3 linked regions of the Pelodiscus sinensis genome follow. The protein of the gene in region 2 interacts with the protein of the main gene of each other region in a pairwise test. Links are inferred from orthologs where the notes say so. Each region holds a gene or a part of one and is shown on either strand. Other genes may lie near its edges.

Evidence for each region.
Region 1: the proteins of THAP7 (region 2) and CCNDBP1 interact in binary tests that used the Homo sapiens proteins (3 or more experiments, as listed by UniProt). The two-hybrid records come from large-scale screens. The link is inferred for Pelodiscus sinensis from reciprocal best matches to the Homo sapiens genes THAP7 and CCNDBP1.
Region 3: the proteins of THAP7 (region 2) and LURAP1 interact in a two-hybrid assay, tested with the Homo sapiens proteins (2 studies listed by BioGRID and IntAct). The two-hybrid records come from large-scale screens. The link is inferred for Pelodiscus sinensis from reciprocal best matches to the Homo sapiens genes THAP7 and LURAP1.

Annotation. Positions count from the first base shown.
Region 1 is NW_027465987.1:396,232-399,972, reverse strand, and holds the start of CCNDBP1 (cyclin-D1-binding protein 1), read left to right. Parts: upstream 1-1,332; 5' UTR 1,333-1,713; coding exon 1,714-1,804; intron 1,805-3,129; coding exon 3,130-3,189; intron 3,190-3,741. Other genes in the region: ZNFX1 (NFX1-type zinc finger-containing protein 1), read left to right, coding at 1-272. UniProt on the Homo sapiens protein: May negatively regulate cell cycle progression. May act at least in part via inhibition of the cyclin-D1/CDK4 complex, thereby preventing phosphorylation of RB1 and blocking E2F-dependent transcription.
Region 2 is NW_027465849.1:2,982,783-2,986,523, reverse strand, and holds the start of THAP7 (THAP domain-containing protein 7), read right to left. Parts: upstream 2,720-3,741; 5' UTR 2,564-2,719; intron 1,856-2,563; coding exon 1,776-1,855; intron 1-1,775. UniProt on the Homo sapiens protein: Chromatin-associated, histone tail-binding protein that represses transcription via recruitment of HDAC3 and nuclear hormone receptor corepressors.
Region 3 is NC_134719.1:2,895,825-2,899,565, reverse strand, and holds the start of LURAP1 (leucine rich adaptor protein 1), read right to left. Parts: upstream 2,295-3,741; 5' UTR 2,120-2,294; coding exon 1,928-2,119; intron 1-1,927. UniProt on the Homo sapiens protein: Acts as an activator of the canonical NF-kappa-B pathway and drive the production of pro-inflammatory cytokines. Promotes the antigen (Ag)-presenting and priming function of dendritic cells via the canonical NF-kappa-B pathway.

The sequences.
Region 1 (3,741 bases), on a different chromosome or scaffold from region 2:
AGGAGGAGCGAGTGCAGATTGTTAGTGCCTTGGGTTATCCACGAGGTCACTGGTTCAAGTGCCCCAATGGCCACATTTACGTGATTGGTGATTGTGGTGGGGCAATGGAGAAGAGCAAGTGCCCAGAGTGTAAGGAAGTTATTGGAGGTGCAAACCACACTCTGGAACACAGCAACCGTTTAGCTCCTGAAATGGATGGGGCAACTCATGCGGCCTGGTCAGAAACTGCAAATAACATGCTCAACTTTGAGGAACTCCGCAGGATGATATAGAAGAGCTACATTTGGCTCAGTAGTACACCTTTTAACCCCATGAATGCTCTTTCTTCCCCACTGCCAAGCTGCATAGCACGTGGAGTAGCCAGCGGGTGCTCACTGGCTCTGTTTGACAAATTGGATTTCTTGTGATTAACACTTGCTGTGTTTGTTGCTAGAACTAGTCCTATTTCCTACTCGCACTTTATATGTCGAATCAAGCAACTGAATGAAATAGATGTAACAAATTCATCTGCTTTAGCCTGAAGCATGCGCGGGGCCTAATGTAGTTCCAGGGCTGGCTGGCACCAGTCGGTGGCATCAGCCCCTGCAGTAGCTCTGGCTATTGCTCATTGCACTGAGTGTTTAACCCTCAATCTTTTATAGCTCAATAAATTTTATTCATAGTCATTTAAATGCAATATTTCCTGGGAGCAGCCTCGCCCCCCCCCGGAGAGACCGGGACACCCCGCTACAGGTCCGCTCCTCCCCACCGGCCCACTATTGGCGCGGCCGGAAGTCGCTCTGGTGCCCCAAGGAAGGGCTCGGGCACGACCGGAAGTAGCTGTGGGGTTTCAGTGACGGGGGAGCGCGTGACCGGAAGAAGTTCTGGTGCCCCACTAAGCGAGGTCCGGTTCGGCTGCAAGTAGCTCAGGTGACCCGTTGAATCGGATCCGGGCGCTGCTGGAAGCAGCTGTGGAGTCTCACTGAGGGCTGGGAATTGGCCGGAAGTAGCTGGGGGGGGGGGGGCTCAGGGATGGGCTAGGGTCAGTAACCCTGGTGCCTCAAGTGCCGGAAGTTATTCTAGTGACTCACTCGGTGGGGGCAGGGCGCAGCCGGAAGTAGCTGGGGGGGGGCTCAGGGATGGGTTAGGGTCAGTAACCCTGGTGCCTCAAGTGCCGGAAGTTATTCTAGTGACTCACTCGGTGGGGGCAGGGCGCAGCCGGAAGTAGCTGGGGGGGGGGGTCTCAGGGATGGGTTAGGGTCAGTAACCCTGGTGCCTCAAGTGCCGGAAGTTATTCTAGTGACTCACTCGGTGGGGGCAGGGCGCAGCCGGAAGTAGCTGGGGGGGGTCTCAGGGACCTAGACCAGCATCCTGTCTGCCACAGTGGCCAAGGCCGGGTGCCCCAAAATAGCTCCGGCGTCTGACTAGGAGAGGCCCGGGCGGGGCCGGAAGTAGCTTGGGGGCAGGAGGGGTCTGAAGACGGGGCAGGGCGCGACCAGAAGTGACCCTGGTGCCTCACTGAATGGGGTCCGGCCTCGGCCGGAAGTAGCTCGGGGTGGGGTCTCACTGAGTAGACTTCCGGCGAGGCCGGAAGTAGTCCTGGTGCTCTGACGCTGGAGTCCGGACTCGAGCCCCTTTGAGCGGCGCCCGGCTCATTGCTCGGCCGTGTTTTGCTGACGGTCCCCACGCCCCGTGTGCGTGCGCAGAAAGCGCAGAGACCTTGGGGCTGAGCGGATGGAGCCGGGGGGTGCGGAGCTCGCGCGGGCGCTGGAGCCGCTGAGGCAGCTCGGCGAGGTGCTGCGCGCGGCCCTGGCCCGGCTCCGAGGTGCGGCCGCGGGGCGGGGCGGGGGGGCGGGGGACGTTGATCCGGGGGAGGCGGCGGTGCCGGGGGGGCGGGCGGGGGGGGATCTGGGGGAGGCGGCGGTGCCCCGGGGGGCGGGCGGGGGGAGATCCGGGGGAGGCGGCGGTGCCGGGGGGGCGGGCGGTGGGGGATCCGGGGGAGGCGGCGGTGCCCCGGGGGGCGGGCGGGGGGAGATCCGGGGGAGGCGGCGGTGCCGGGGGGGCGGGCGGGGGGGATCCGGGGGAGGCGGCGGTGCCGGGGGGGCGGGCGGGAGGGGGATCCGGGGGAGGCGGCGGTGCCGGGGGGGCGGGCGGGAGGGGGATCCGGGGGAGGTGGCGGTGCCCCGGGGGGCGGGAGGGGGGGGATCCGGGGGAGGCGGCGGTGCCGGGGGGGCGGGCGGGGGGGATCCGGGGGAGGCGGCGGTGCCCCGGGGGGCGGGCGGGGGGGGATCCGGGGGAGGCGGCGGTGCCCCGGGGGGCGGGCGGGGGGGATCCGGGGGAGGCGGCGGTGCCCCGGGGGGCGGGCGGGGGGGATCCGGGGGAGGCGGCGGTGCCCCGGGGGGCGGGCGGGGGGGGATCCGGGGGAGGCGGCGGTGCCCCGGGGGGCGGGCGGGGGGGGATCCGGGGGAGGCGGCGGTGCCGGGGGGGCGGGCGGGGGGGGATCCGGGGGAGGCGGCGGTGCCGGGGGGGCGGGCGGGGGGGGATCCGGGGGAGGCGGCGGTGCCCCGGGGGGCGGGCGGGGGGGATCCGGGGGAGGCGGCGGTGCCCCGGGGGGCGGGCGGGAGGGGGATCCGGGGGAGGCGGCGGTGCCGGGGGGGCGGGCGGGGGGGGATCCGGGGGAGGCGGCGGTGCCCGGGGGGGCGGGCGGGGGGGATCCGGGGGAGGCGGCGGTGCCGGGGGGGGGCGGGCGGGGGTGGATCCGGGGGAGGCGGCGGTGCCGGGGGGGGGCGGGCGGAGGGGATCCGGGGGAGGCGGCGGTGCCCCGGGGGGCGGGCGGGCGGAGGGGATCCGGGGGAGGCGGCGGTGCCCCGGGGGGCGGGCGGGCGGAGGGGATCCGGGGGAGGCGGCGGTGCCCCGGGGGGCGGGCGGGCGGAGGGGATCCGGGGGAGGCGGCGGTGCCCCGGGGGGCGGGCGGGCGGAGGGGATCCGGGGGAGGCGGCGGTGCCCCAGGGGGCGGGCGGGCGGAGGGGATCCGGGGGAGGCGGAGGTGCCCCGGGGGGCGGGCGGGGGGGGATCCGGGGGAGGCGGCGGTGGCCCGGGGGGCGGGCGGGGAGGCGGCCCTTTCTGAGCGCCGCGCTGGTGTCTTTGCAGATGGGGAGTCGCGGGAGAGCAGTGAGGCCTTCGAGCAGCAGCGCTTCTGGGACACGCTGGGTAAGGGCCTGGTGTGGCGGGCGGGCCCAGGACTCCCAGCCCACGGGCCCCGGGCTGCAGTGGAGGAGCCCAGCTGAAGAGCGGTGCGCTAAAGGGATCAATGTGGAAAAGAAACCGCCCAGGAGCTTCTGCTGGTCCGCCAGGGACCGCACCGGGGACCTCATGTTGTGCTGGCACTTGGTCCGCAAGCGCAAACGATTTCCCTCAGAACAGCTTCCAAAGGTTTTACGAGCCCTGCCCTCAGTATCGGATTGCACAATTAAAAAACATCATGGGGGTCTTAAGATGTTCACTCTTGGAGAAATTTACAAGTTGAATTTATGGCAGTGCTTTTGGGGTTTGCTAAATTCAGTCCCGTAATTGGGGAAGCCACTTCATTGCTTTTTCAGTTAATGGATATGAACCTGTCAGAGGATGATCATAGAGCTGGAAGAGACCTCAGGAGGTCATCAAGTCCAGCCCCGTGCCCAAAGCAGGACCAATCCCAACTAAATCAACCCAAAGCAGGAGGTGCTGGACTAAGTAGCTAAATTAAAAAGCAACATATTACAA
Region 2 (3,741 bases):
CCCTTGCCAGGAACTTTCAACTGAGACATGCTGATGCCCTAAAAGCCACTGAACCGCCAAAGTCTCCACCAGAGCTGGGATGCAGGACCAGCCAGAATAGATCACACGAAAAGCCCATCTAGCCCAGCATCTGGGCTCTGGCAGAACTCTGGCAGCTGCAGATGAAGAGGTAAGGCACCCCCTAGTGGGCAGTTCTGGAATAACCTGCTGAGAAGGGAAGATTCGTCCTAACTCCTCAGCAATTCCTTGATAATCCCGGGTCTGGACGGTGGTTTTGAAGCAACAAGCTCCGATGACGAATGTCTCTTTGTGGCAGGAAGTCATGCAAGTCGGCTGGGTGAGAAGGTATGTCTTTTCTGTTGGTGTTAAAGGTACTGCCATTCTGCGCACCTGGCTGTCCCCTTACACCAGTGGCCTCCAACCTTTTTAACCACAAGATCACTTTTTCAAGTTCAGTGAAATGTGAAATCTACCTCAAGCCCAAAGACCCTGGCCCCACTTCCTTCCCGCACCTTCTTTGAGGCCCTGCCCCGTTCCGCCCCTTCTCTGAGGCCTCACCCTGCTCACTCCATCCCCCTTCCTTGCTCACTTTCAACAGGCTAGTAGGGGTGCAGGCTCTGGTCTTGGGCCAAGGGGTTTGGAGTGTGGGAAGGGCTCAGGGCTTAGCCCATGGTAGGAGACTGGGGTCCAGGAGGCTGCAAGCTCTGGGAAGGAGTTTGGGTGCAGAGGGACTCATGTTGGGGGCAGGAGGAGGTTCAGGCCTGGGCCAGGGGTTCAGGAAGCAGGCTCGGGCTGTGCACTGTTTAACTGAGATGGCTTCCAGGTGGTGGAGCAGTGGGGTTAAGGCAGCTTACCCCTGGCCTGGCCCTGCTCCACTCCTGAAAGCAGCTGGCACGTACAGCAACGGCTCCATGGTGCCATGTGCTGCCCCTCCTCTACCGGCACTGAGCCCACAGCTTCTACTGTTCCCCATTACTGATCAATGGGGGCTGCAGGGGCGGTGTCTGCAGGCCAGGACAACACGTGGAGACCCCCTGCTCTGCCTCTCTCAGGGGCTGCAGGGACATGCCAGCCACTTCCAGGAGCAGCAATTACCACGGGGATAATGACTCCAGCCACGGCAGGTTTGGCATTTTAAAACTCACTGCCCAAAGAATTAAATGTAAGCGTAAGAGAAAAATGAAAATTATGAAATGCACAGTCCAGTCAGAAACAAAAAATAACCCACTCTGCAAGCAGGAACAGACGTAACAACAACAACAACCCACATATGTGTTGGATTGGGGGATGAGAGTGAAGGACAGTGTGTGTTTCTGAGAATGACAGACACACACACACAGCGTGTGACAGTGATAGAGATTTGCATTGCCAAATCCATCCCCTTCTCTCTGTGTGGAGACAAGGTACAGAAGTGGGTGGAGGAGGGACACCCTGACATCAGTGCCCCCCATCTTTTTGCCCCTCCATCTGCTTGCTCTGCAGGTGTGCCCCCTCCCCCACACCTGCAAAGTAAGCAGGAAGCTCCCAGGGGGGCAGCTCCGAGGCAGAGGACAGGAGCAGCAGGACAGTGGGTGGAGAGGCAACTGAAGCGCCAGCGCTTGAGAGCTTCCCAGGCAAACCAGTCAGGATCCCTTGTCAGAGGCTCTGAGATCTACCGACAGATCCCAACGTTCTGGTTGGTGACCCTGCCTTATACCTTCCCCACGGGGTGGGAGGAAGGGGGGGCTGGAATGGCTGGTTGTGAAGGTAGGTTGCAGGGCCAGGTTACTTCCTACCGATGGAAGGAGATTCCTCGATTGCGGGTCTCGCGGGTGTCCCGGGTGCAGCAGCCGGCAGCAGAGCAGTGACGGGGCATCTGTGAGGAGACAGAGATGGGCGGCCCTGAAAATCACTCAACCCCCCCTCCAGTGGCTCTGTCTCACCCATCTTACCCCTCCATCCAGGGCACCCTCCTGCCAGCCCTACAGCCAGGAGACCCCCCCCCCCCCGGGGATGTTAAGAAGCGTGTGGTTCGTGAATCGTGGAGCCGACAAAAGTGCTGTCGACGACGCGAGACACGGACGAGGCTTCGCAGCCACGCGCCCGGGGCGGAGCCAGGCTGCCAAAAACCGTAAATCGTTTAATCGGCGGCGCGGTGACACCCCCCCCACCAGCCCCCCCAGGACTGGGACCCAGCTGCGCAGGAAGGGGGGGCAGCATGGAGCCCCTGGGCGGGGGCAGCAGGTGCGGGGGGGGGGCGAACTCAGGGGTGGGGGAGGGGCAGGAGGGGAGATCTCAGGGGTGGGGGAGGGGCAGGGGGGCGAACTCAGGGGTGGGGGAGGGGCAGGAGGGGAGATCTCAGGGGTGGGGGAGGGGCAGGAGGGGAGATCTCAGGGGTGGGGGAGGGGCAGGGGGGCTGTTGCCAGGGAGGCCCCGTGGGGGGCGGGGTCGTGACGGGGGCGGTGACGCTGGGACCCCCGGGAATCCCCGCGGGGGGGGGGTTCCCGGGGGTGTGACGTAGCGGTGACGCGTGGAGGCGGTGACGCGGGGGTAGCCCGAGGGGGAGGGGGGATTCCGGTCTCACCTCCCCGCTCCCATCCCTCCACAGCCGCAGCGGCTCCGGGACTGGCGCAGGCGCAGCTCGGCCTCCCGCCGTGTTCTCGCGAGAGCGGGATGGGCGCGCGAGGCTCCCCTCCCACTGCGTCGGCCCGCGACGAGCTCGCGAGAGCGCGGGCGGGGGCGGGGAGCAGGGTGCCCCGGCGGCCAATCGGAGTGCGTCTCGCCCTGGCTGAGCAGCCGGGAGACAGGCCCCGCCCCTCCCCCTCAGCAACTGCCACGGCAGGCCCCGCCCCTCGTCCTCAGAGCCACGCCCCTGCTCCATCACCTGCCACAGATCCCGCCCCTCCTCTCAGAGTCCCGCCCCTCGCCGTCACCTGGCCCAGACCCCGCCCCCTTCCCTCAGGGCCCCGCCCCTTCTCCGTCACCTGGCCCAGATCCCGCCCCCTTCCCTCAGGGCCCCGCCCCTCCCCCTCAGCAACTGCCACGGCAGGCCCCGCCCCTCGTCCTCAGAGCCACGCCCCTGCTCCATCACCTGCCACAGATCCCGCCCCTCCTCTCAGAGTCCCGCCCCTCGCCGTCACCTGGCCCAGACCCCGCCCCCTTCCCTCAGGGCCCCGCCCCTTCTCCGTCACCTGGCCCAGACCCCGCCCCCTTCCCTCAGGGCCCCGCCCCTTCTCCATCACCTGGCCCAGACCCCGCCCCCTTCCCTCAGAGCCCCGCCCCTATTCCCTCCTCTCCCACCTCCAGTGGATCCCCAGTGACCCTTGTCTGGTGACGGGGGAGGGGAGATGACTAATTTAATGTCATATGCAAATTTTCCAGTCTCACTCTTTACCTTTTTGCCCAGGCCATTTCTGAAGCGCGGGAGCAGCCCTGGTGCGGGGCCGATCTCCAGCACAAAGCGTCCACCCAGGAACCAGCCAGGGACCCGTCGGCCTTGGAGGAGGGGCCCTGCCACGGTCCTTCTGAAAGTCCAAGGCTGTGTCTAGACTGGCAAGCTTTTCCGCAAAAACTTACCAGCTGTCTACACTGGCCGCTTGAATTTGCGCAAGAACACTGACGATCTCATGTAAGATTGTCAGTGTTCTTGCGGAAATACGATGCTGCTCCCGGTCGGGCAAAAGCCCTCTTGCGCAACTGCTTTTGTGCAAGAGGGCCAGTGTAGACAACGCGGTATTGTTTTGCGCAAAAAAGCCCCAAATG
Region 3 (3,741 bases), on a different chromosome or scaffold from region 2:
GGAGAGACTAGTGCATGCGCACAACTGCCAGCAAAAATCGAGCCACTAGAGGGAGGAGTTTCAGGTGGGGAAACTGAGGCATGGGACAAGAGTAAGGAACTTGTCCAAGACACTCAGTGGAAGAGCCCCAGGTCTCTTGGACTCCAGCCGTGTGGTTTATCCACCAGACTTTCCTCCTTTCCCTAACGATAAGCTTTTAAACAGCCATGGTTAGACAGGCCGGGAGCACAGTGGCCCCCTTTCCAGTGTTTTCCTTTGGAGGCTGCTCTCCCCGACCTAGCCAACACCCAAAGGGACATCAGGGGACAGTCCCAACCCCACACTGCCTCCTCCTGCCCCCCCCCCCTGGGCCTGCAGCTTGACTGCCAGAGGAGCTGGGAACTCCAGCCGGGTCGGGCATCTCAACCCTGGGGCCACGTCCCCACGTTCAGAGCGTAGACCCCGGGGCTCTCCCACCACAACGAACCCCTTCCCCCACCCACCGAGCCAGGCTTGGCTCTAGAGAGGAGGGGCCAGATGCCCCAGCGATGGGCAGAGCAGAATATCGGTGACCCCACGGAGCAGGCAGCGAGAGGACGGTCCCCGCCCTCCCACGGGGCAGGGAAGCAGGGAGTGGTGCTGCCCTGAGCCCCCCATGGGGCAGAGAGGGAGAGGAGGTGGGGGGTGACTCCATGGGGCAGGAGGGCAGTGTTGGCCCTAGCGCAGAGAGGGGAAGAACTGTCCCAACCCTCGCCCCCGGGGAGATCAAGGGGGAGGTGTGGCTCCAGTGGAGAAGGGAGGATGTGATGGGAGGCTGCAGGCCCGAGGGGCAGACAGGGTGAGGGGCAGATGGGGAGGGGGGCTGTAGCCCAAAGAGGGAAGGGAAGAGGAGGTGGGAGGCCGTAGCCCAAGGGGGCAGGCAAGGGGGAAAGCAGGGCTGCCAGAAGCCACAGGGAGCAGGTGGGAGTGGCATGGGGGGTAGAGAGATTGGGGCCCCAGGGGTGATGGGAAGGGACAGGGGCAAGTATGGGGAGAAGGAGTATAGCCCCAGGGACTGGCAAAGGGGGGGGGATGGAGAAGAGGCTGAAGCTCCAGGGAGGGAGACCAGGCAGCAGGGAGTGAGGGGGGAGGAGGAAGATGAGAAGGGGCAGGCGGAGGGGGGGGAAGATGGGGAGGATGCTGTGGTGCTAGGAAGGGAGACCAGGCAGTGGAGAAGAAGATGGGGGGCAGGGGGAGAGAGCTGGAGGATGGGGGCGAGCTGGGGGGGCAGGCCAGTAGTGGGGGGGAGATGAGGAGGCGCAGGCGGGGGGGCAGATGAGAAGGAGGCGGTGGTGCTGGGGAGGGACCCCAGGCAGTGGGGGAGAAGATGGGGGGCAGGGGGAGATGGGGAGGGAGCTGGGGGGGTCAGGCGGGGGAGGAAAGCGGGGGGCGGGCTCGGGGGGGGGGGGCAGACCAGGCAGTGGGGAGGAGGGAGATGGGGAGGGAGAAGGTGAGGAGGAGGCTGTGAAGCCGGGGAGGGAGCCCAGGCAGTGGGGGAGAAGATGGGGGGCAGGGGGAGATGGGGAGGGAGCTGGGGGGTCAGGCGGGGGAGGGGCAGGCCAGGCAGTGGGGAGGAGGGAGATGGGGAGGGAGAAGGTGAGGAGGAGGCTGTGAAGCCGGAGAGAGAGCCCAGGCAGAGGGGGAGAAGATGGGGGGCAGGGGGAGATGGGGAGGGAGCTGGGGGGTCAGGCGGGGGGGGCAGACCAGGCAGTGGGGGAGAAGATGGGGGGCAGGGGGAGATGGGGAGGGAGCTGGGGGGGTCAGGCGGGAGAGGAAAGCGGGGGGGGGGCAGACCAGGCAGCGGGGGAGAAGATGGGGGACAGGGGGAGATGGGGAGGGAGCTGGGGGGTCAGGCGGGGGAGGGGCTCGGGGGGGCAGACCAGGCAGTGGGCGGGGGTCTCCCACTCACCAGTTCCAGCTTCAGCGCCTTGATCTTGCCGGCCAGCCCCCGGCGCTGCCCCCGGGCCGGGCTCTCCCCGAGCAGCGCCGCGGCCGGGTCCTCCCGCAGCCACCGCAGCAGCCCGTCGGGGGGCCGCCGCCCCACCTTGCCCTCCAGCTCCTTCAGGTCGGGGGGCAGCGGCTCGCAGCCCGGCCCCTCCATCCCCGCTCCTGCCCGACGGGCCGCCTAGCGCAGCCTCTGCCCCGCAGCCCGGCCCCCCGACAGCCCCGGCCCCGCCGCCTCCACCTGCCCGGCTGCAGGCAGCCCGGCCGCTGCCCGCGGGCCGATACACCCCGCGGCCGTAAGGCTCCGTGTGTAGGCGCAGCGCAGCTGCCTTATTTCCCCGAGTGGAGCGCACGCGCAAAAGTGTGTGTGTGGGGGGGGGGGGGGAGCGCCTGGCGGTGTGGACCAATCCTGCTTGGCGCAGCAGGCAAGGGAAGTAAGTGGAGGGGAGGGGAGGGGGTAGGGAAGTATGTGTAGGCAAGGGAAGTAAGTGTGTGTGTGTGTGTGTGTGTGTAGGCAAGGGAAGTAAGTGTGTGTGTGTGTGTGTGTGTGTGTGTGTGCGCGCGCGCCCAGGTGCAGGTCGGGGAAGTGTGTGTGTTGGCAAGGGAAGTGTGTGCAGGCCAGGGAAGTGTGTGTGTTTAGGTAAGGGAAGTGTGTGTGTGTGTGTGTGCAGGTCAGGGAAGTGTGTGTGTGTGTGTGTAGGCAAGGGAAGTAAGTGTGTGTGTGTGCAGGTGCAGGCCAGGGAAGTGTGTGTGTGTGTAGGCAAGGGAAGTAAGTGTGTGTGTGTGTGTGTGTGTGTGTGCAGGTCGGGGAAGAGTGTGTGTGTTGGCAAGGGAAGTGTGTGCGTGTGTGTGTGCAGGCCAGGGAAGTGTGTGTGTGTGCAGGCCAGGGAAGTGTGTGTGCAAGAGAGATGCACAGCAGAATGAACTCCCCAGATCCAGCTGGCAGCCCCAGCGAGGGGGGAAATGTCCGCCAGGGTGGGGGTGCTGGAGGGGCAGCGGGCTGTCTGCAGGGCAGTAGGGAGGCTTGCCAGAGCTGGGCGCAAGTCCCCGTTCTCTCGCTGGCTTCCTGGGTGGTGCTTAGGCCTAGCTCCCACAGGGATGCCGCTGGCAGCTGTCTGCCTCCAAAGACAACAGCCGAGGCGCTGCAGCATTTCACTCACCCTGTGGTCTCCAGGCCTGTGCCGGCCGAACTTGCCCCACGTACGCCTAGGTGAGGGGAAAAGAGACGGGGCCTTGCCGTAGGGCCCAAAGCCCTCCCCACCCCCGGGGCAGAGTCAAAGAGCCAGCAGAGCCTCAGGAGGTGCCGGAGGGCGGAGCTGGGTGGCCGTGCCAGCTGCCTGAGGCTTTCTCTGCCGTGGATTTGAGTCTGAGATTTCTCCCCAGCTTTTGTTCAGCCAAGAACAAGCCACCACGTTGCCACCAGCTGGAGTTATGCCTTGATGGTTATTGGTTCCTGGTGGAGGTGTCCCACACGTGCTGAGCGGGAGGAGGGGGGGGTGCTGGTTTACTTGCCACATGCCTGAGCCATGGCAAATTGGGCTGGCTGACGTTGTACCAGGAGACATCTTTACCTGCCTGGCCTGATCTAAAGTCCAAGGTATTTGGCTCTGAAGTGCCACTAATTTGAAGAGCTAGGTTTTAGGCTCTCCTGGTTCCCCTTGTACAATGGGGGTTGCAAGGATAAATCCTGGGTGGTTTAAGTGCCTTGCCCAAGGTCACCTGGCAAACCAGTGTCAGACCTGGGATAGCGCTTAGATGTCCCTGCCTTGGTACTGGAAC